3 linked regions of the Lytechinus pictus genome follow. The protein of the gene in region 3 purifies or fractionates together with the protein of the main gene of each other region. This does not show direct contact. Links are inferred from orthologs where the notes say so. Each region holds a gene or a part of one and is shown on either strand. Other genes may lie near its edges.

The links.
Region 1: the proteins of C-Jun-amino-terminal kinase-interacting protein 1-like (region 3) and mitogen-activated protein kinase kinase kinase 7-like purify together in Homo sapiens (pull-down; 3 studies listed by BioGRID and IntAct, with this or other methods). This does not show direct contact. The link is inferred for Lytechinus pictus from reciprocal best matches to the Homo sapiens genes MAPK8IP1 and MAP3K7.
Region 2: the proteins of C-Jun-amino-terminal kinase-interacting protein 1-like (region 3) and dual specificity mitogen-activated protein kinase kinase 7-like purify together in Homo sapiens (affinity purification with western blotting; 3 studies listed by BioGRID and IntAct, with this or other methods). This does not show direct contact. The link is inferred for Lytechinus pictus from reciprocal best matches to the Homo sapiens genes MAPK8IP1 and MAP2K7.

The regions. Positions count from the first base shown.
Region 1 is NC_087248.1:22,971,871-22,979,549, forward strand, and holds the start of mitogen-activated protein kinase kinase kinase 7-like, read right to left. Parts: upstream 3,081-7,679; 5' UTR 2,983-3,080; coding exon 2,914-2,982; intron 1,002-2,913; coding exon 891-1,001; intron 344-890; coding exon 90-343; intron 1-89. UniProt on the Homo sapiens protein: Serine/threonine kinase which acts as an essential component of the MAP kinase signal transduction pathway. Plays an important role in the cascades of cellular responses evoked by changes in the environment.
Region 2 is NC_087259.1:22,221,361-22,229,378, reverse strand, and holds the start of dual specificity mitogen-activated protein kinase kinase 7-like, read right to left. Parts: upstream 3,040-8,018; 5' UTR 2,864-3,039; coding exon 2,728-2,863; intron 1-2,727. UniProt on the Homo sapiens protein: Dual specificity protein kinase which acts as an essential component of the MAP kinase signal transduction pathway. Essential component of the stress-activated protein kinase/c-Jun N-terminal kinase (SAP/JNK) signaling pathway.
Region 3 is NC_087263.1:12,638,532-12,646,256, reverse strand, and holds the start of C-Jun-amino-terminal kinase-interacting protein 1-like, read right to left. Parts: upstream 3,065-7,725; 5' UTR 3,062-3,064; coding exon 2,925-3,061; intron 1-2,924. UniProt on the Homo sapiens protein: The JNK-interacting protein (JIP) group of scaffold proteins selectively mediates JNK signaling by aggregating specific components of the MAPK cascade to form a functional JNK signaling module. Required for JNK activation in response to excitotoxic stress.

The sequences.
Region 1 (7,679 bases), on a different chromosome or scaffold from region 3:
CAGGGCCAGCTGGAAGAACAGCTTACAACTGAGAGTGGCTACCCTGGGTAAATTATTATCATTATTATTATTATTGACACTTTACTTACTTTGCTGGTTTTAAATCCCTGTGTATTAACTTCTTTGGCGTCATACAGTGAAGGTAGTCGACCCCCTTGGCACACTGCAAGGCCCAGCTCATGGCGTGGGCAGCCTTGTAGATGGGCTGCGGCTGGCTGCTGTGAAGGACATTGTACAGCGACCCGCCCTCGGCATACTCCATCACCAGGCAGACGGGGCGGGTGGTGCACGCCCCGTAGAGCTTGACGATGTTTGGATGGTCCACTCGGGAAAGCTGCCTGACCTGAAATTTAGATTTTTTTTCAGTGAGATGTGCATCATCATTATTGCCATTATTCGGCATCAACATTATAAATATTGTCTTCTTCATCCTAAAATCGTATGTTCTCAACTTTTTTTTTTGCATCAGCAGCAGCATTATCATCATCATCAACATCACCGTTATCATCACCACCATCACAACCATCATCATCATCCTTATCACCATCATCAGCATCATCATCATCATCATAACCATTAGTCAATTACCATTTTCATCATCATCATTACCATCATCATCACCATCATCATCACCATTATCATCATCATCACCACCACCATCATAAAAAACAGTGGCATATTGAGCCAAATATTTTAAGGTGGCAGAAAATTTGTTTAATAAGTTGCAAGTGAGGAACAAAAAAAATTACAGCATTTTTAATACGAGTAGCTAATTTTGTTAGACTTTGACAATATATTTCACCTATTTCCTGTCCTTTTTTCCCTAGTTTATATCTTGGTCATGGAACTGTTTTGGGGGCCTTCAAAAAGTAAAAAGATATACGACTTACCTCGACTCTGAAGGCTTTGATCTCCTCTTCTGATTCGATCATCTTGACAGCCACATTCATAGATCGCCATTTTGCTTTACTTACTACTCCAAACGCTCCTTTGCCTACGACCTACATGTACAAAACAAAGTCCAATTATATATAATGAATGCTCGACCTAACAAATTTCATTTAGAGACAGTGATATGGAAATGAGAAAGACAATGATGTTCCCACTCACTATTTCTTTTGTATTTTTTATTGTCTGAATTATTCCATATTTCATTTTTTACAGGTTCGACAATAAGTACCAACTTCACTGACCCATAAAACCTTAAAACAATGGTAAATTCACATGTTCAAGGATGAATAAAACTTTCTTTCACAGGACAATGGGGAGAAAATTAGAATAGGGGTCTAGAAAAATATACCATATTTCATTATAATAAAATACAAAAGAAATAGCGAGTGGATGATGACATCAGTCTCCTCATTTGCATACCGTCCAGGATGTGCCTATAATAAACTGTTTTGTGAAATTAAAGTGATCATTTCACTTTGTTCCGATTTGAAAAATTATCCTTTTGGTTCCTGAAAATGGGCTAGACATGAGGCTTATAGTGTAAAAATACTAACCCAAAAGTTTCAAAGTATTATATTTACAGGATCAATTTTAAAACCTTGGAGATGTAAACCAAAGTTTGAAATAATTGGGAGTTGGTTTCAATGACTATGTGTATACAGGGAATCTGTGCACAACACATTAATTCTAGATGAACACAGCATGACCTACATACAGTGTGTACAAGGTATACACTGAATGTACAGTGCAGCTAATAGTGTGTGTATAGGAGATACACACAACAGAAGGCAGTCAAAATAGCCAACGGACTTTTTGAATTGGAGAAAACTGGTCATAAGCTGAACCCGTCTACTAGACGGTTCTCAAAATCAGGCTAATAAATTGCTACTTGTATCTAAATTAGAGTTTTTCATCCTATATTGTGGTCTGTTTCAGGGTTTTTGAGGACAAATAATGGCACTCATACGCACGTTTCAACTCAGTTTGAGAATTTTTTAAATCAGCTGCTCACAAAGTTAAACGATCCCTTTAAGCGAAACTTTAAAATGTCATAACTTTCTTATTTTACATCCAATTTTGATGAAATTCTCAGTGTTATGTCTTATGCTTGCACTTGTTCATTATTTAAGTTGTATGTTTGAATTTTCTCTTTTAATTTTATCAAAATAATCTGTTGGGGTGGACTTGTCTTATATAACAATACAAACTGTTACCCCCAACATTTCTTGAACCCATCCAGGACCATTATTTAACTTTAATAGCTGGGAGCTCAGCATTAAAAAACTTTGAGTAATAGCCTAATAGGCAATATCTATTCCCTGCTTCTGCATCATATAGTGAGTGATTGTATTACCGACCGGCCTTGTATTACCGAACGCGCGCATCATATGCGTCAGAAAATAATCAAATACGCTCAAACCTTTACAACATCCTTCAAAAGGGAACTTGAATAGAAAAATGATGGAAAATGATCAAAAACACAATTTCGAAGTCTTTATATCCTCAAAACAATAATATATGGTCAAAATAGCTCATCAGTGACTTTGTTGTTTTCCCAACTTTTCCCATAGAAAACACACGTTCGGTAATACGATACCTTTTTCAAGTGACCAAAATATTTCACTTGCGGAGCCGGAGAGAGGTCCGATTGGAAGCTGATGTCGTAAAAATGAAAAACAATTTCGGCAAAATTTCTGCATATTTATATCTTGTAGGTATTTGTGTATTTATGGTGAAAGTTTGGTGAATTTTATTGGAATAATGTGTTTGATATGATCAAATTCATGAAGTGTTCGGTAATACGATCCACTACCATACATGTACACCGCACAAATACACAACACAGCACAAATAAAAACGTACCGGACTACATGTAAACTTTACAATGCACTCCACTGCAATGCAGTCTGTCTGGTGTCCCCACCCAACACACAAAAAAAACAATTAATGCAAAGGTCTTACCCTCTCAAATTCTAAATCGTTGAAATCAACTTCCTCCTTGAAGCTCATCTGGGATTCCAGGCGCGCCATTTTTGTTAAATGCTACTTTATTCTGGAGAAATAAAAGGTTTCATCCCGATACGACATCTGTTTCGCCGCACCGAGATAATTCACAAAAGGGAATTCCCCATTTGAAGGGCGCTGGTGCGCTGGCGATCAATCGACAATCAATGTCAATGATTTACAATAATGTTACGGATCAGTTTGATCTAAAATACAACTTAAAAAGCCAAAAATATTTGCAACATTTTACCTTCCTTTGAGACCCCCCCCCCCCAAATAAAAAAAAATGAATTGAAAATGCATCACAAAACTCTATTCTATTGATTTCTTTTTAATTACGAACTACAAATTTGTTTGAATTTTTTTTCACTCAGACCCCCCGCCCCTTCCTCCCCGGCTTCCTCCAAAGTCCAAACAAACACCAAATATTCTCGTTAACACAACGCAAGACAAAAAAGACCAATCTTCTCGGGCTTCAGTGGAACAAAACACGAAACAATCAAACAAATAACTAGACAAAAAAATGCAATCTGTCAAATTATTTTCGGTGCAAAATACGGATCTCTGAGTTCTCTCTCTTTAAATAGTGCGTAATAATAACATTAAAAAAGTAGTTTCAGTAGTTTCAGTAGAGAAATCTTATCCATACAGCCCTAACCTCGAATCTCCAACGTACGTTTCTACCAATCAGCAGGCTCCTCCTCCTCTCTCCAGCCCACCCCCCCCCCCCCCTCGGCCCCTCTCCCACTCCTCTTTTTTTCCTCTTCAGTTCTCCCCCTCCCACCTTCTCTTCGATCTTCGCTTTCCATGATTCGGGCTTCCTGTTTTGTTTGTATTTGATTTATTTATTTATTTTGTTTATTTTTATTTATTCATTTATTCATTTATTCATTTATTCATTTATTCATTTATTCATTTATTCATTTATTTATCTATTTATCTATTTTTTTTTTTTTCTTTCTTTTTTGTGGGGGGTCTTGTCCCGGTTATGTACGTGATTTTTTTTTTTTTTTTCATTTTTCATACACTTTCCCAAAAGGGGTATGATTGTTTAAAATTTCAATGGTGTATAGGCATAAATAAAGAGTTTGACCCGAGTCGTATTATTGAAACTTATCAATTTGCAACACTGAATAAAATTTATATCTCGATGTCGAGTTATTTATTGCATAAACAAGCTGTTCTTTCGAAAGCATTCCTTTTTGTGTGTAATTTCTGTATTATATTTTTAGACGATCTAGGGGATCTTCAAACTTCCACCTACCCAAAATATCACCTCTTTAGCAAAGAATTGTATGTTTTACAAAGGACCAATATTATCTGGAACAAAATACCACTTTATGTTAAATCTATCATTAAATGTTTTTAAAAGGAGATCAAAACCCAACTTCTCAGTAAATATTCTAATAATGTTTGACCAAATTTTCTTTTCTCTTTCGCCTTTCGTTTTTTGGAGTAATTATCTTTGTGTCATTGTGTTAAAATGTGTATTTCCCCCTTTTATGCTCAATCTGGTATTCAGTATTCATGACATCATGATTATACTCCACAATATCATATATTCAGTTTCCAGTTTTTGTGAAGGTGGCAGCACCAATAATTGCATTTGTAATTGCCTCCGCACTCATTCATAAATTATGAATAGGGCCTACTTTTTTTTCAATTGTTTTCCAGATTTTATAATTGCATTATCATCACGATTATACGATTTTTCCATGTAAAGTATGTTAAAGGTCAAGTCCACCCCAGAAAAATGTTGATTTGAAATAATAGAGAAAAATCAAACAAGCATAATATTGAAAATTTCATCAAAATTGGATGAAAAATAAGAAAGTTATGACATTTTAAATTTTCGTTTATTTTCCACAAAACAGTTAACAGGACAACAATATGATTGCATAAAATGCCATAAAAACAAATTGCATCATGCATGGTCCGGTCCGGTGTGACCTACTTTCACCATTATTATGCAGGTACAGGTGCGCCTTCACCATTCAGTTGGTTATACCGCGCCCTGATTGGATAAAAGTTTTATTCCGCGCAGGTGCCATTGTGATGTCACACTTAACGAACTTTTAGATTGTGACGTCACAATGGCACCGACGAGGAGTAAAAACTTTTATCCAATCAGAGCGCGGTAACCAATGGGACGGTGACGACGCACCTGTTTGTTATAGGCCTACTTTAAAACCTTGTAATGCGGATATGTTTCATTTTCATGGCTGCGTTTGCAAAGAAATAAAAATTATCACAGAGGCTGCTTCAATTCCTTATTCCGATCTGAAAGAGAAATACAATCACATCACATTAGGATAGTACGGATGAATAGGATTTCTCCATGGCCCTGGGAAGCGGGGGTGCTGATTTCTGCACCCGGACCGCGATTTTCCTTGGGGGTGCTGCGTATATTACAGGCGCTAGGCAGCACCCCTTGGAGTTCTGGTAGGTGTTAAAAAATTGACAAATGTAACCAAAATTACTTATATTTTGTAGTGGAACCTTTTTTCTTTTATCTTCTTTTTTTCTTGTCAAACTTCTCGGGATCAAAATGGCCTTCAATTTGTTGTGAACCCCTCCCTCTTTTATTTTTGCTTGTCAAATTTACATCAGCGACCCTACTACAAAATCGTGCCCAGGGCCCTACACTGTAAAAAAAAAACATTGAATCAGTAGTTAACACTTAATGTATTTAAGTAGAATTTACAATTTGTAATTATTTTTCGTTGTTTTTAAGTAGTTTCAACTTGTCTTTTAATTTACTTGATTTACTTGATTTATTTGGGTTCAATATACATTTAAGAAAATTCGCGTATTGATAGCTTGCTTTGATTGAGTAAATCTAACTCAATTAGGCAAAGATGATTATTACTTATAAAATAATGTTGAATGTACTTATATTTTCAATTAACGCCATATTTAAATAATGCATGAATATTCATTAGAGCAAGTAAATGTTTTTTTTTTAATAACTGTCATTTCTATTTGTGTTTGAAATTGTTTTGGATAAGGGTGTGCTAACTATTGTATTCTTTTGTTGAATCAAAGAAAAGGCAACATTAAATAGTCATTTAGCAGAAAATTATTCTCACTGTTTTATTTGTAAGAATGAAACGATCGCGTATAAATATCAATGTCAGTACCTATACATGTACAGGTAAGTGACAATTCACAAAGTTTAATATTTGGATAAAACATGTATAAAATGAAAATGATGCCACCAAAAGTGGGACGATGGGGGAGCGGACTTTCGAATCACGAAAGTCCATCCACTCCCCCATTTGATATTTTCAAATATTTTAGTGATTGTTTTACTTAATTGAATTAAGTTATTGTAACTTAATTTTCTTGAGTAAAATGGAAGCAAAGAAAATAAGTAAATTTTACTTAAAACTGCCAAAGTCATAAATACTTGAAAAAATTAAGGCAATTTTTTGCCACAATTTTATTAAGTAATTTCTACTAATTTTTTTTTACAGTGTAGATTTCTCCTTTAACGTTTGATATCGATGTTGATTGCTACTATACTCTAAAATCAATTAAGGATTTTAAATAAATCCAGATCGGCTGTGAATAGTGACCAGCCGAATATTAGATTTAGTTTCAAACCTTGTACACTGAAATATAAATCTAAAATATTTGAATTTAAATCCTTTGAGATTAGTAAGTTAATCCTAAAGATTCAAAATAAATCCAACATTCGGCTGGTCACTATCCACAGCCGATCTGGATTTATTTTAAATCCTTGATTTTTAGAATGTATCCTTCTATGGCTAATTTAAACTTGACTGTGCATCTTGAATTAGTGGTATTTAAATAACCCATTCCATCAAATTCGTCAATCCGATTTTTTAAACATTTAAAAATCACTTTGCCTCTACAATTTCTCGAGGTAGATTGCTCCAATCTCTTACAACTCATGGAGTAAAACATTACTCCTAACATCCAGTCTTGATCTTTTTCATGAAGAGTTTTGATTGTGTCCTCTGGTTACTCTGCACTGTACACAGTAAAAACGCTGTTTAAGATTTTATGCAACGCTGTTTACTATATGAACCTTATATACAGTATTTGTTTAACCGTTTAAACAATCATGTTTAATTTATTGAAAATAAGATATTGAAAATTAAACTTTGTTGCTTAAAATTTAAACAGTTGTTTAAACTGTTTAAACAATTACTGTAAGGTTCATATAGTAAACAGCGTTGTATAATCTTTTTTTTACTGTGTAAAAAAATATTTCCGGCAGAATTTCAAGTCGACCCGTCAGAATTTTGAAGACTGCAGTCATATCACCTCTTTTGTAGATTGAGTGCTTTCAAACGTTCTTCATAATTTAGCTCTCGATCGTAGAACTCAGTGAAGCTTTTTGTTGCTCTTCGTGTTGCACCCCTGGTTGCACCTTTTCTACTTTATCTTAGTCCAATTTATGAATGCCACAGTTCAATGTTATCATATTCAAGATGAGGTCGTACAAGTATGGTGGACAAAATGGGAAGCATATCCTTTGATATTTTCCGAAATGTTCTCTTTATCATTCCTTCAATTTCATTTGCTTGAATCTGGATTTGCCACATTCTGGTGGAAATCTATTTCCTTATCAATAATTACTCCGAAGGTCTTTGGCCTGTCCGACTCCATTCATTGTGTGGTTCTTCTTGAAGTTCTTTCCCATATATATGAACCACCTTACATTTAAATTTCCAACATTTCCATCTTTTGGACCA
Region 2 (8,018 bases), on a different chromosome or scaffold from region 3:
TTTTCCATTCATGAAATCAGAGCCCAAAGTTGGGCACAAACTAGCTTCAAATTGATGGGAAAAATATCAAACGCAATTTTCTCTGTTTTGTCATGTAAAACATTATATGGTGATATAACGATCTTGAAAAGAGTTTCTGCATGTTGACAATGTTCGAGAATCAATCCTGACGTGATAATTATTTGTTTTAGACAAGTGCACTCACTAAAGTCGATCGTCATGTGATGTCCGTCATTGAAAATTGAAACGAAATACAAACGGTTCACATCAAGCTCTAAATTCATATTAATGATTATCATATGAAAATTATTGTTAAATATTACGATTAAATAATGTTCTATGGTCATGATATTAATATTGTTCATGAAAGCAAGATTTATTTTACGTTGATCGAGTCAATTTTCCGGCCATTTTCTGGTTTGATTAAAGCACAGTACTGCGCATGCACGATCGATGGCGATGACTTCCATTCATGAATTCATCGTGCATAAATTATCTCGGCACGAGCAGACGAGTGAGACTGTAATGTAATCATAATTACATAATTGGTTTCATTTTGGGGGCAATATAAATCAAGTAAGTAGTAGTCAAGTTGGACATTACTGTTTATTTTGATGATTGATTGTGTGAACCAAAGAATCGACCGACGTATTTTTTTTTTTCTCGATGCACCGATTTTGCAAAATCTGCACCGGCGTTCGATGACATCGATCGAACACCGATTTTAAAATCGATTCGACTCAGGCTTAGTGCGGACATTTTCAAAATCCACAAACATTGGGAAAAACATGAAAAATCCACTTTTTTGGACCCCGTAATTCTTAACTGCAATGTTAAAATATAGCAAGTGTGATATTTATGACGCAGGATATGGTGATTTAGGTAAGAAATTTTCACTTTTGTTCAAAATTTTGTCCATTTCAATGAACCATTTTGTAGTGTGGGAGTGAGCTAGTAAATGTGTAGTGTACATGTCTAGAGTGTGTTGGTGATTTCAGTAGTACTGGTATATTGCCGAGTCTGCTTAGCGTGCTGCACACCAACCCCAGCCGCGCACCGACGCAGTTACTCTAGAGGACTAACATTACAATCAAATCAATCATGCAACTGAGTAATAAAATTACAGTCCGACCTCTCTTAACTGGCCTACCCTTATCCGGATCTTTCTATTATCTGGACGCACACGTTTTGCAGAGATTTTTTTAAATCTAGTACCGTACATGGGGAGATGAGATTTCAATCTAAAATCAAAATTCCTTCGCAAACTCTCTTTGATTACATTTATTTTCCAATATAGTCTACCTACAACCACATTATTTTTATGGAGACCAAATTAACTTAGACAGGATAATTTTCCAGTAAATCAGGGAACAGCGAAATTGTTTTTTTGGGGGAAAAAAAAACATAAACACATCTATTGCTCAGGCTTCATTTTGCATTACGGAGAGCGCCATCTACATGTATGTTTGAGCCTACAGTCAGTATAACTTAACAATGGCTGACTTTGCAAAGCTGCGATGATCCAATTTTCAACTTAGTTTCATCTAGACCAAAAGCTTCGGTCTCTGTTATGTTGGTTGTTACGCTGAACTCCGTTGGCTCCACTCACCAAATACAGAGACCGAAGTTCTAGCTCGATCTATACAGGGGACTCAATGGCCATATGTTTATGTATTATTAAGTTTGGATAAAACAGGGAAGTGAAGTTGCGCGACAGCCGAAGTAAATCACTGTTTTTTTCCCCTTATTATTTTTTCTCCGATTTGGAGCGTTTCAGGCCAAAACGGAATAATCTTTATTTTGGTACAATTCTTTTTATATATTTCTATGAAATAAAGACAAAAATCGATGAGCCCCGTCGGGGGAATTTGCATTGTTAACCCCCTAATGTTGGCTGCACGATAGCGAGCCGTCTGTGTACGAGGAGAAATTTTAAAAAAAAAATTTAATGTTAAAAAAACTCCTCGAAGCAGACGGCTGCCAGCTGTCTAAGTTTCATCAAGTTGTTTTCTTTCTTTTGATTGAGGAATGCTTGATGTATTCCTCAATCATTTCATCAGCAGGAAAATTATGAGTTTTGGCAACCAATCGATTTCATTTCCGTTAAAAAAAACGCCTGTATTTGCACTGAGAGCATCGAGCAGTCAGTGAATACTGTCTGTGTACGCTCACTACAGTAGATTACGTGTAGGCCGTAGCTACCATTGGGGAGTTAGCTGCGTGTATTATCATTTATTGGGTCTCCCAGATCATGCAGATCCGGATGGTGCTGGTCCCAAAATGTCCGGATTAAAGAGAGGTCGGACTGTATCTCATAATTCATTAATTGTAAACTAAAATAAAAATAAAGCAATGAAGGCGGTCGGTCAGGCAGTGCCATATGATCATATGAAGTTGGTTCTCAATTTATCTCAATAATTCTTATCTTAATTTATAACAAAAATAGAAAAACGCAACAGGGGAAAAAATGTTTTGTTATAAAAAAAAACACGGCGTAGTATTATAATCTAGCCGAAGCACAGTCGCTAGTCGCGCCGCATCGCAGGGCTTGCATATCGGATGCAGCGCTGAGCTAGCTGAGTGCATTGCATCGACACACTGCACTGCCACCAGATTGTGGAGTGCAATGACAGTGTATTGTTGATGTCTTTTCATCTTCTCATTGCATAAGCCATAAACGCTCTAAAAATCAAAAAGTGATGATCAAGCTTGAGGAATTGATCTTACCTGGCCTCTGCCGAGGCATCTTAGGTGATTCTAAATTAAAATCAATAGATGGCCTCTCTTTTCTCGCTCTGTTTTCATCTTGAATGCTAATTTGGAGTTGATTCAATTTTTGTCGTAGGTCCAAGGAAGAAGACATCTTGGAAATTATGACGCATGCGCACAATAATTTGGTATCTCGGCGATCTATTTATATTTTTCTATTGATCTCTTTGTTGACATTCTTTTGAGAATAATGATTTGTTAACTATAGGCTCCATAGTTCGACTCAGTGTGAAAAGTGATTAAGCTAATAAATTTGTTTTCAAAATCCATAGAAGAAAAACACAATATTATCACACTTGTTTGTCAACCTCACAATGGTAGCCCAATGTGATAGATGTTTTTCATATTCACATTGAAAATTTAGGTATAAAATAAAAACTATTTTTCACAATAAGGGCCGCTCCATTTTCGCCCCTTTCCTTTCTTCTGCATCATTTTTCTAGGCCTCGTTTATGGAATATGCGTTCTATCCAATGTCTTTTGGGGCAATTGGAGGAGGGGTGGTTAAAAAAAATAGTATAACTCTATACGTCATGCTTCAACGATCAAATTTAGAATCAATATCAATATCCCATCTTTTTATTGTTTATTTATTTCATGTACCGTAGACTCATATAGGTGGGTTAAAGTAAACTTCCACCCCTATGACTAGACTTAAAACAAAATTTAATAAAAGGGCAATTTAAGGAGCTTTTCAAATAAAAATGACTATTTGTTTAGAATCAGGGGCGGCGATCCTGTGGGGCCGGGGCACAGTGCCCCCCCCCCCACTTTTTCATGCACTGAAAAGTGCCCTTGTTACGCAAGAAAAGTGCCCCTCACGATCGTGTACTGTGCCCCTTTCACCTGAGGAGCACCCGTTTTAGGTGTTAACACGTGCCCTTTCTCGTATAAATAAGTGCCAATTTTTTTTTTTTAATGCCCCCTCTCCAACGTGCATGTCATGTGCCCCTTTCACCTGAGAAGCTTTTATGTGCCCCCTTGGCTTCTTGTACGTGCCCTTTCTCGAATCAGTGCCCCTTTAAAAGTGCCCCTCATGAATGTGTTCTGTGCCCCTTTCATACTTGAGAAGGACCCGTCTTATGCCGTTTGCAAGTGCCCATTTGCCTTCTTATACAGTAGTTGCCCTCATTTCTCGTATCACCTGAGAAGGACCAAATTTATGTGTTAAAGTGATGCTCCAGGCTGAAAATATATATCTCAAGAAATAGAGTAAAACTCACAGAGCAAAATGCTGAAAATTTGATCAAAATCGGATAAGAAATAACAAAGTCATAAAATTTTTAAAGATTTGCACTATTCCGCGGTGAAACAGGCAAGTCATTAGGTGGGCTAATGATGTAATATCCCCACTAGTTCTTTTGTATTTTATTACATGAAAAAAGGGTTTATTCAAAAATGTTATACCAAGAACTATAAAACAATTGGATTGACAACTAATTAAGTGCATTAGTTATTTCTCGCCGCAACTTATTTCTTAATGGAGACACATCATTTACACATTTATAAAATAATGAAACAATTATGATTTCATGTAAAAACATAAGAAAAAGAAAAGTGGGGATGTGACATCACGTACATTTTACATAAATCATGTTGAATCTAAGTTGTCTTCTTCCTAAATCCGCGCTTCGAAATATGAAGAAATAACCATTGAGTAATTAACTTTTTCTTTCCCTTCGTTAAAAAGGGATATAATCAGCTTTTGACGGTCTGAACCTTGACGATTTTGTTATGCTCTCAATTTTCTATTTTTAAAAACCGATATGAAATATGCGAAAGCTTCCGCACTTCACGAGGAAGGGGAAATTGGGAGAACGCTCCGGGCGCTCGGTTAGCATTATACTTGGTTGTTGAAAATGCCCAATTGCGATTCGCATACTCATCCACCCCTTTCATGCCTTCCCCAATTTTATCGATAGGCCTATGTAATTTCACAAAAAAAAATCAAAGTGATACCCAATTATGGTGCTCGGTTAAATGCGATAAACTAATCATCAAAAAGAATGAAAAAAGAGTAATCCTTGCAGTTTGCACACAATATACTTTCCATCGAACTATTATATGCCTTTTAGGTAAATGGCGAAAAAATGTATTTATAAACATAATTTTGGAAGAAATTTATTACACCCAGGAAATTCGAAGATAAGTTATAAAATGTTTGTGCTATCATGACGAATTAGATATCACATAAATGAGTACGTCCTGCCCCTTCATCACATTGCTTTGTCATCAGGAGCTGAAAAATATTTAGGTATCATTTTTTCACAAAAAAATCTTCATATTTTAGACAAATTAAAAATGAAAACTTGACAAAAACATTTCATACTGTGCTTGTTACTTTTCAACACAAACATTTCAGATCGCATTTTTTTTGTTCAGTGGTGACATATCATGATAGAAAATGCAATATAATTCATAGATTTTACATTTATATATTTCTATGAAACGATGTTTGAAAATATAATAACAAACAATAGAATACATTTAGCACGAATATTACTTCTTGTCTTCAAAGAAAATTTCACCTGAAAGATGCTTTTATCCCAGAGCTTATAATACGCGCTTTCATTATTTTAAATTAGTCATGGTAGTATTTATATTTCTGAAGATATAGTAAATTTGGGATGTTTGACAAGCGAACAAATTTCACTGAATTCCATGGGTGTATTTACACTTTTGGCCTCATCTGTATATATATATCACCATAAATACATCTCCCACCTGCTCAATAATTATGTATTGCTTTTATCTGCACTTGAAATTAATCAATTACTATCGGGCGATTATAACAACAATAACATTAAGTTGCCTCCCAATAAATGGACTCCTATACTAGTATTTTAAGAAGTTTACAGGCACACGAACACACGCACAAATTACCCCCACTAACAAACATATATCAGGTAAATAAGATTTATATCGTTTTATGTTAGCAAATCCGCTAAAAGGATAAGAGCAAAAGGTTACTAGTATAATAGATTACCGAGGAAAAAACGAGGATTATTTTTTCGTAAGAACATATCTTGCACCTCAAGCAAATTCATTTATCTCATATTGATGATTATATTAGAACATAAAAAAAAGCGTCACCAGAACATTGAGCCATGACCTGTAAGCGCAGTGCGTACGCACATCATCAGCTTGATAATAATACTTTGCTTGATGTGAGGCGAAGTAAAACTTAATAATCAAAGACAGGATTTGACTGATGTGTTATCTCTTTAATTAAAATAGAGGCCAACTTACGAAGTGGTTGGAGTCCCCGCTGGCCATATCTTGGAGCAGCCCGGCAAAACGACACATAAAATCTCTGCTCTCGACGATTCATGACTGTCTCGTCTTAGTTACAGGTCTCCATGTACGTGTTATATGGACTTGAACGAGAACATTTGTGGCATTATACGATCGACACAGAATTTCGTAGCCAGGAACGGGGCAAGTTCACTATAATTAGCAAGCAAGTCGGGTCGGATACAAACTTTTAAGGCGTTGAGCCAGCCAGAGTCGTACGCCTGCCATTACCAAAAGTTTTCCTTAAAGCTGCACTCCGAGATTCATATTGTTTCTATAGAGTTTATAAATCGGTTTCGAATGAGTGCACAAAGAATTAAAGTTACATTGACTTTTTAAAGAAATAAATTCATGCCCTGTGTAACCATCACCGACATAGGGTCTAGTGTCCGCAACAGTTTTGTTTTACTTTGGGTAACTATCAGTTTTTACCAATCTTTGGATTGTATTTTCCAACTAATATTTTGCATCTGGCCAATTTAAAGTAAGTTTGTCTTCCATTTCCCCTATACCCCTACCTTTTCATTGATAAAGAATAGAATACGGTGAATACGGCATAATATTCCACAAGCAAATTTATGGTAAAAGAAAGAAAGTCTATTTTGCTTGCTCGCTTTGCTCCCTCACATTTATTCTGATATCGAGCACTTTCAGTAGACTCAGCCCCTCAATATGGTGTTGCTCATTACATTGCACTAAGGACAGCTCTATGCAAAACACCCCTCCCCACCCCCCCCCCCCTCCCCCCAATCAGGGAGAGTCACCTATCATCGTCTTTGTCTTTGCATCATTCCCATCCCGCCCTCATGAATATATGTATAGAAAGACCTCTATGAAGAAACAATTAAACCGATTCTTTAAACAAATCATTTTTATAATTCATTTTACATGTATATACACATAAACAGATGTGATGATAGTATCATTAGTTTCGTAGCAGTTTATTGAATGAACGTCTTGACATATTTCTGTACTATAATCTGATTCTGTTAGTAATAACATTTCTACGATTTGCATGAAAGTTGTCAGCACTCAACACTGACAGGTTTCTCAGACAGTTGCCATAGTAACATTCTGACACCTGTGCTTCTCAGCCAATCAATGCAATGGAATTTTGTCTGATTGGATGGTTGTCTGATCTGAAAACTTGTCAGACAATAAAATAATGTCGATGAATTGCCCCTGATAAAACCGCCCCGGATCTCCGTGGTGGATCTATTTGGATGATACAGCTTTCTTTAAGGTGCATACCATTATTCTACACCCCTTTGCCTTTCCTTTCATTTTCACTCTCCATAAATTAAAGCCTAACTCTCACGCCTCTTCTCAATATTTACCCCATTTATCTAAAACTTTTCTTTGTCGCGCAGTCTATTCCTTCACTTCCATTTCTCCCATTTTCTTGATAAAATCTCCCCTGTTTTTATTCTGGTAAAGGTCAATTTATTCATGATTAAATCACAGTTTTTGAGTGCTTGTCACCTCCTTTCAGCTTAAATAATTCACATGCATGGTGCTCTTATTCTTCAGCCTCGAATTTCCTGTCTATACGAGAAATAGAAAATGTCGTGTTTTTTTTTCGTCCTTGGATAGTATTCTCCCAAGTCACTTATCATTATGATAGCAGAAGACTTGATTTGAATCGTGGAGCACTAAAATGCCTAAGAATTGTGGTCTAGTTTTAATAATGTCCGGACGATCTTGCCAAATCCAAGCTAAATGATAACACTTAAAATAATATGGAAAATTACTTTATATTGAACCTTGAATATCAAAATTGTACCAAAAAATCGTAATTTAACAAATTATTATCAATTTGATGACTTATTTTGATCTTAAAGCGTGTATTCTTTGTTCACGCGGCATATACGCTAAAAAGGGTCTAGTATGATGATGATGATGATAAAATCAGTATGCTACTTCCTCTACTACTACTACTACTACTACTAAATAAT
Region 3 (7,725 bases):
TCGTTAGTTTGTTTCCTATTTTTTTCTCACTTTTTTCTTCTTCCTCATCTATGATCAAAGGTGAATACCTTTTTTTGATATCTGTTCTAAAAGCTGGACATTTTAAATATTTTGTTCAAGTAAATAAATCAACAGGATAGTAATCAAAATGCGATAGAGCTGCCCGAGCTGAAAATTCTGATACAAGGACTTGAAAATAAAACATTCTGAGCACTTTTTATAACCATGATGAGGAGACCTATATATATATATATATATATATATATATATGTGTGTGAAGTTATACATGTACTACAGCTTTGGCAACTCTTTTATTTAAATATTGTGTGAAAGATATATATATATATATATATATATATATATATATATATATAAAATGCTTGATTTATTTACGCCTATATATATATATATATATATATATTTATATATATATATATGTATATGAAATAAGCTAACACGAAAAAAATACGTTTTGGGGACTGTTAAATAAGAATTCATGAGTGGGATAGGTAACTATCTATTCTATTCTTGTTCGTTTTCTATTATTATTTGTGTGTTGTGTTTATTTTTCTTGAAGCACCAAAAGGTGGACATGTCCGCTAAGATATATTAACGAAGTCACCATTATTATCACAAGCTAACGGATCAATTAAAATGCGAGCGTGAAACGTGAGCTTCTTTTTTTCTTAATTCAGTCTTAACGATACTTTTTCATCATATTTTAAAGGTGAATCTCATGATTCAAAATGATAAATGCTTGTCGCACGGGCAGAAATAGCGGGACCAATAGTTATTTTCAATATTCCGAACTGCATTCTGGACGTTGTATAAGCGCCTTTGTATAACAATTAAAAGGGTAGGTCTATTTACCTTACAAATTATGCGAGCGCTGAACTTTTGGACATTTAAACCTCAACAAATGGACATTTTTTAAATATGAACAACATCATAAATGTCGCTTACAAAAATGATGCCAGCGCGAAGCTCGCGCTTAGAGTTTTTGATATTGATGACAGGACTGTATCTAAATGAAAAATAATGCGAGGGCATTTGCGCTTAAGATTTAAATTTGGGATTTGAAAAGTCCGACAGATTACCTATACTTTTAAAAGAGGAATGACCTCCAGAATTCAAGCGCGAAGCGCCAGTAGATTTATGTTGAAGTTTAGACCTAGAACAGGGACGTTGAACCTTTATAATCATGAAAAAGATGGTATTTTTATAAATAAAACATGGGAGTCTAATTCTGTTTTAGTGTTAATATTCAGATCTTCAAACTTGACATTTTCCTATCCCCTTCATTATCCCCTCTCCTTCTCCCTTTCCCCATTTTCGTTCTCCCTTCTTTTCTTCTCTCCCTTTCCCTTCCCTTTTTCGCTTTTCCTTTCCCTTCTTTTCTTTCCTTTCTCCCTCCCCTACTCTTTTCTCGCTCTTTCCATTTTTCTTTCCCTCTCCCTTCCCCTCTTCCTTTCCTTTGTTTTCTTTCTATTTTATGGTCTCCTTTTCCCTCTCTCTCCTCTACCTTTCCCCCTCCCTTTTCCTTTCCCTTTCCCTCTCCTTTTTTGTGCAAACATTAACACGAACATCTTGCTTCCTACACACACACACAAACGCCCGCAATCTAACACACGTAATGCGAAACAATCGGGACATTATCATTTTGTTCATACATATATATGTATATTTTCTCAATGAACATTTTCATCTATTTAAAGCTTTGAAAATTATCAAACAATGATTCCACAGGCGAAATCTCAATGATCATTAGAAAGGTACTTTACCCATTTTCATTTTATGTCATTGTGATTATTCCATACTAAGGCAACATATTTTGGATATAAAAATACATGAAGGATATGTTCCTCTTCTGTTTTATACTTTAACAGAAAACATTTTGTTCAACCAAATTATGATTTGTATTTCCAAGTTCCATGTAATATTTTCATTGGAAAATCTCTTAAAGGTCAAGTGCACCCCAGAAAAAATTGTTTGAATAAATAGAGAACTATGTTGATTTTTGGTACAATTTCCTATTATGCGCCGACGACTTGAATCGAGAATGTTCGATAGGAAAATTTCGCATTTCGATTGTTGTTTGCGTAATTTCCACCGCAGTACGAAGGATGACTAAGGACGGACCGAGCGAAGTATCCTGGTTGAGATTTGGAGGTAAGCGATAAAAACACTTTAATAAATAATTTATAATTGCTTTTTCAAATAAACTTGATCATACGATCAAGATTAACATAGCGGACAAATATTGAAAGGTTTGGCGTAGTTTAGTCCCTCACATTCGTGTGATGAATGAAAACGTCAAAATGCACTATGAAATCACATGTGTTGTGCGAGGTTAGTACGGTATACTAACCTCGCATGTTGTGTGAGTGAGACCAATTAAATGATAAGTCAAGTTTCTTGCTTTTACAGATGAAATTAACTATTGTTTGGTCTAATTTCAATGCAATAAATGCTATCAATAGTATCATTATCGATTGATTTAAAACTGAAAAAATAGTCAACATCACTAACTAGACAAAAAATGTTAAACAATGAACGAGAATGATGATTGATTACTTTTTTGCAAATTTAATAATTAAATTAAGGCAGCCAAATTTTTATGATTTATTTTGGGAGAGCCATACTTTCATTCCAATAACAGATGAATGTCAGGAACTCAGATTAGCTGAATCAACAAATAACTATGATAACGAAACACATTTAAAATAGATGTGTATTTTTATTATTCTTTTTTTAACCATAGGCCCTACATGTAAATGCATGCAAATCAAGATGATTGACGCTCAACTACACTACATCGATGTAAGCAGGCGGGACTACAGTAATTATTTTCAATACAATTGTTATATTCATTCAGCATTACGCAGTATGATTTGCAAAATAAAAAGGTAAAATGTAGGACAAACCTATATGAATCCATTGTCGATCGAAAAACCGAACATTTTTGTGAAGTTTCCCAGTCATTATCGGCGAAATCCGGGTCTCCCATCTCACAGGCTGTTGTCTCTCGCAGCGGACGTCGACGGCCTGCCATACATCCCATTGACGTCATAAAAGATACGGTAATGAGGAGGTAAATGGCGAGTGCGTAAAAGCATCTTATTATTTCTTATGACATCATCTCATCTTTATGATCTGCATCATCTGGGAATCGTCTCATGAAATGACTCGTCAGATATTTTATCCGACAAAGTCTGTTTTATCTAGCAGTTAGCATAGCAACATTTAGACATCTATGTTTCTTAGCCAATCAATTTCAACATAGACGATAAATTTTGATAGTGCCTCTTCATTTTCTATTTTACACGGAGACATTACAAAATATGATAAAAGTGGTGATATGATAATATTCTTTGTAGTTGTTTATATATAACTTAGTATAGTATAATTATATGCATATATAACCCAAATAACCTGAATTACTCCTTGGGGCGGGAAATTGAATGACACACGCAGCACCGTTGGCCGGACTAATGTGGTAATTTGGCGGGAATTTGGCACTTTTCCACGCTACTTTTATGGGTTTTTTTTTCAGCCATCGTCTAAGCCTTATAAGGACTATTGTTGAGAGATAGAAGGGCGACCACCCCTTATGATTTTCCCCTTTTTCAAGTACATATTAATAAAGGAAAACTATCAGAGGGGGAGTAAAAGGAGTATAAAATTATACTGAAAGGAATGATTATGAATTTCAAAAAGTATATAGGCCTTCTAAAAAAATAGAGGTCTGGTCCACCGTATAACAATACCCTATATAATGTTATCAAGAATTATAAAAAATATGACGTCATAATTAGGTAATACCCCCAAAAAAATCATAGTAATAAATAAATAAATAATCAATTAATAAGTAAACAAATAAATAAACAAATAAATAAATAAATGAATAAATAAATAAATAAGAACATAAAATCTAGTGCAGCCAGTGAAAAATAGTGAGTCGTGCAGATCCAGTGGCGTACCGTGGGTCACGGCATTGGGGGGCACCAGCAAACATTTGAGTCACTAAATGACCGCGCGAAGCGCGCTCATTTGCCAGCTATACTGACAATGACATAATAGAGACAATTTAACGACAGTGCCATAAAACGGATATGTATCTCACTGATCAAATAATGGGAGTGCGAAGCGCGAGCTGAAAATTTTTGATATTCAGACCTAGAAAGCGACATTATAAGCAACTTCTTGTTATCATGTTACGTACCGGTCTCGCTAAATAAACAATACGAGCGCGAAGCGCAAGCCATATCGAAAACTTGTATGCAGTGTACCGGACATGTAAAAACATAGCAGACGACGTTTGACTAGTGGTGCGGAATGTTCCATTGCGGCTTTATGGGGGAAATAGCATTACAGAGGGATAAAATGTATACACAAATAATGTTTCAGCGTTGATTCGCAATATTTTGAGTCAATTTTCATGAATTATCGTTGTTTGAACATTTAAACATCATTATAAAATGAAAGAAATAAGCAAAACTTAATTTTCAGATTTAGCTATGCAGTGGTAAGCTAGGATGCACCCCTCGTATACATAATGGACCCGTCACGAGTGTAGGTTTGCTCTTCGGACATCACTATCACAAAGAAAATCTCATCTGATTTGATGATAAAAGTGCCCTATTTCCTTATTAACAAATCTCCATGGTTCTTTCATGAGTATTTGCCTTACAATGTGCCCTTTATTAAATCTGGGCGGAAATTCATGATACCACCACCCACCGATGTGACGACGGATATAATCCACCCGGGTACTATAAAAATGTCCCCCAAACCCAATATCCCAATACATATTCCTGACTATGGATGGTTTCTAGTGATTTTAATGTAATAAAGTGCCATATTTCCCACCAATTGAATGTAAAAAAAAATTATGGTCATCTGATAGAAGAAGTTGTTACCATTCATTTCAGGGGGGCGGAAATTCTATCTGAATCAACGCTTGTCCTTGATACACATTTGTTTGTGAAAAACGGGTATAATGCAAGGGAATTCTGCGTGTTATAAGGGTGCGCGCGTGCAGCGAGGACCTTCTGTCCGCTAGTTTTCCATATGGAAATTTTTGTATAAATTGACCCCAAACAGGGACATTTTAAGGGCTATATTTAGGAATCCATGAGGAGAATACAACACCATAGTCATCTAATGCGAGTGCCAAGCGCTTGCTGATTTGGTTAGAATTACATATATACACATAAAGCACTTTTTGTAGTCATTGTAATCATGATAATCATACACATCTCACTAATCAAATATTGCGAGCGCGAAGCGCGAGCTGAAAATATAGGAAATTCAGACCTGAAGAGGGGCATAATTTGCTAAGACCATACGTATTTCACTAACCAAATGATGCGAGCGCGAAGCGCGAGCTGAAATTTTTTTAATATTCAGATCAGGAAAAGGGACATTTTAAGGACTGATTTTAGGAATTCATGAAGAGCAGACATATCTCACAAATCCTTCAATGCGAACGTAAGCACGGACAGGAAATGTTTTATATCAAGACCTTAAAATGGGGCGATCACTTTCAGTAGTCATGAAAAAGAAGCATATATCACTATATAATAATAATAATAATAATAGCTCGAAGTGCGAGGAAATATATTTGGTGAATATTGATTTGATTTGACAACGTCACGTCTCTCAAATATACTTGAAAACTATAGTATTCCAAAAAAAAATTATTTGATCTATTATATCTAGTTAAACAGACAATGCGAGCACCAGGAACAATGAAGACATAGGCCCTGAGCAAATGTTTCATAAAGTTATGAAAAAAATGTTTCTTTATGTAATATACATTAACATAACATGATCATAATATAATATAACATTATAATGAACAATAATTTCTTCTTTTCCACTACGTTTCTTTTCCTTTCTCCTTTTTTCTCCTTTTCCCCGTTTTCTTTTTGGCCAGCCGATTGGGGGGGGGGCACGTGCCCCCCATGCCCCCCGTAGTTACGCCACTGTGCAGATCATTCGTTGGCAGATCATTAGGACACCCAGACTAGTCTTGCGGGGACAAAACGAATGTATTTCAATAATTGTGAAGAAAATAAATAAACGCCTGTTAATCGAAACGCCTATAAATTCTTGGGATTCCCCCCCCCCCCTCCGTCGCTCTTCCCTTATATAAGGTTGATGGCATTTAGCATACACAATGTATTCCACGATTAATTTATAAGTGCGTTGGCGAAATGACCCCCCCCAAAAAAAAAAAAAAAAAAAAAAAATATATATATATATATATATATATATATACATATATATATATATATATATATATCGAGTGAACACTATGGTGTCGGTGATTAAAAAAAAAGTAACAGTCCCGAGCGAACGAAGCGAGTGTGTCCATAAACTTGATTTCTTTACGATGATTTTTTTTCTTTGGATTGATTATGACGTTCTGAAAATGATATCACATCTTACCGTTTTCAATTTTCTCCCCCCCCCCCTCCTCCTTCTCCCCCTCCTCCTCCTCCCCCTCATTCTTCTTCTTCTTTTTCTTCTCCTTTTTCTCCTTCTTCTTCTTCTTCCTCTTCTTCTTCCTCTTCTTCTTCTTTGTTTTTCTTCTTCCTCCTCCTCCTCTTCTTCTTCTTTGTTTTTTTTTCTTCTTCTTCCTCCTCCTCCTCTTCTTCTTCTTCTTCTTCTTCTTCTTCTTCCTCCTCCTCTTCTTCTTCTTCTTCTTCCTCTTCTTCTTCTTTGTTTTTCTTCTTCTTCCTCCTCCTCCTCCTCTTCTTCTTCTTCCTCCTCTTCTTCTTCTTCTCCTTCTTCCTCTTCCTCTTCTTCTTCTTCTTCTTCTCCTTCTTCCCCTTCTTCTTCTTCTTCTAGCTTTTCTTCTCCTTCTTAGCCCGGCTTGATGTTGGATGAAATGAAATACAATAAAATTTTGGCAAATTACCTTGTGCCTTGGAGGTGGCTGGTACAGCTAGGATCATATACACGACGTATATCACAATTAAGATAAACTGACATTTCCTTTCCTTGTCTTTCTTTGTCTCTTTCTTTGTCGTAAATTTTTTTTGGGGGTGACCGTTCATACCCCAAGCTCCCCCCCCCCCTCCATTTGCACGCCAGTGTTTATGACGTCACAGAACAAAGTAGACCGCTAAAACAAATCAACGCAGAAATGGCATGAATATAATAAATTACATGATACGGACGGGTTGCCGCGGGCATGATATTTTGATGTAGCCGGCAAGGCAACCAAAAGATGGCGGCATATTTTTTTTTCTCAATTGATACAGGCTAAGAAATTTTTGAACCCTGAATGAAAAACTTGTACCAACCTTTGGGGTATAATCTTGCACCTTAAGTGCCCCTAAGTGCCATTGCAAAATGCACCTTTTTATCATTATTTGTACAAAGAAATTCTTGTTTGCACCCTGATAGGTGCAAATTTGAACCGTTTAAAGTGCATAATACTTTACATTTAAAAAGTTGTAATTTGCTCCTGTATACATATGTTTCATTTCTGCTCCCTACAGGGTGCTAAATATAGCTCACTGCACCCTTAATGTAGAATTAGAGGCAATTTGCGAATTTGCGGTATATAAAATTGTTATTATTTATTACTTAAATGAGCATAATTGCACTTGGGATGCTGCTGTTGTATCAACTCCTATAGGGTTCAAATTAAAATCCATATTTCTTAGTGTGTATAATGATGACCAAGACCGCTTTTTTTTGTTTTTTTTTTGT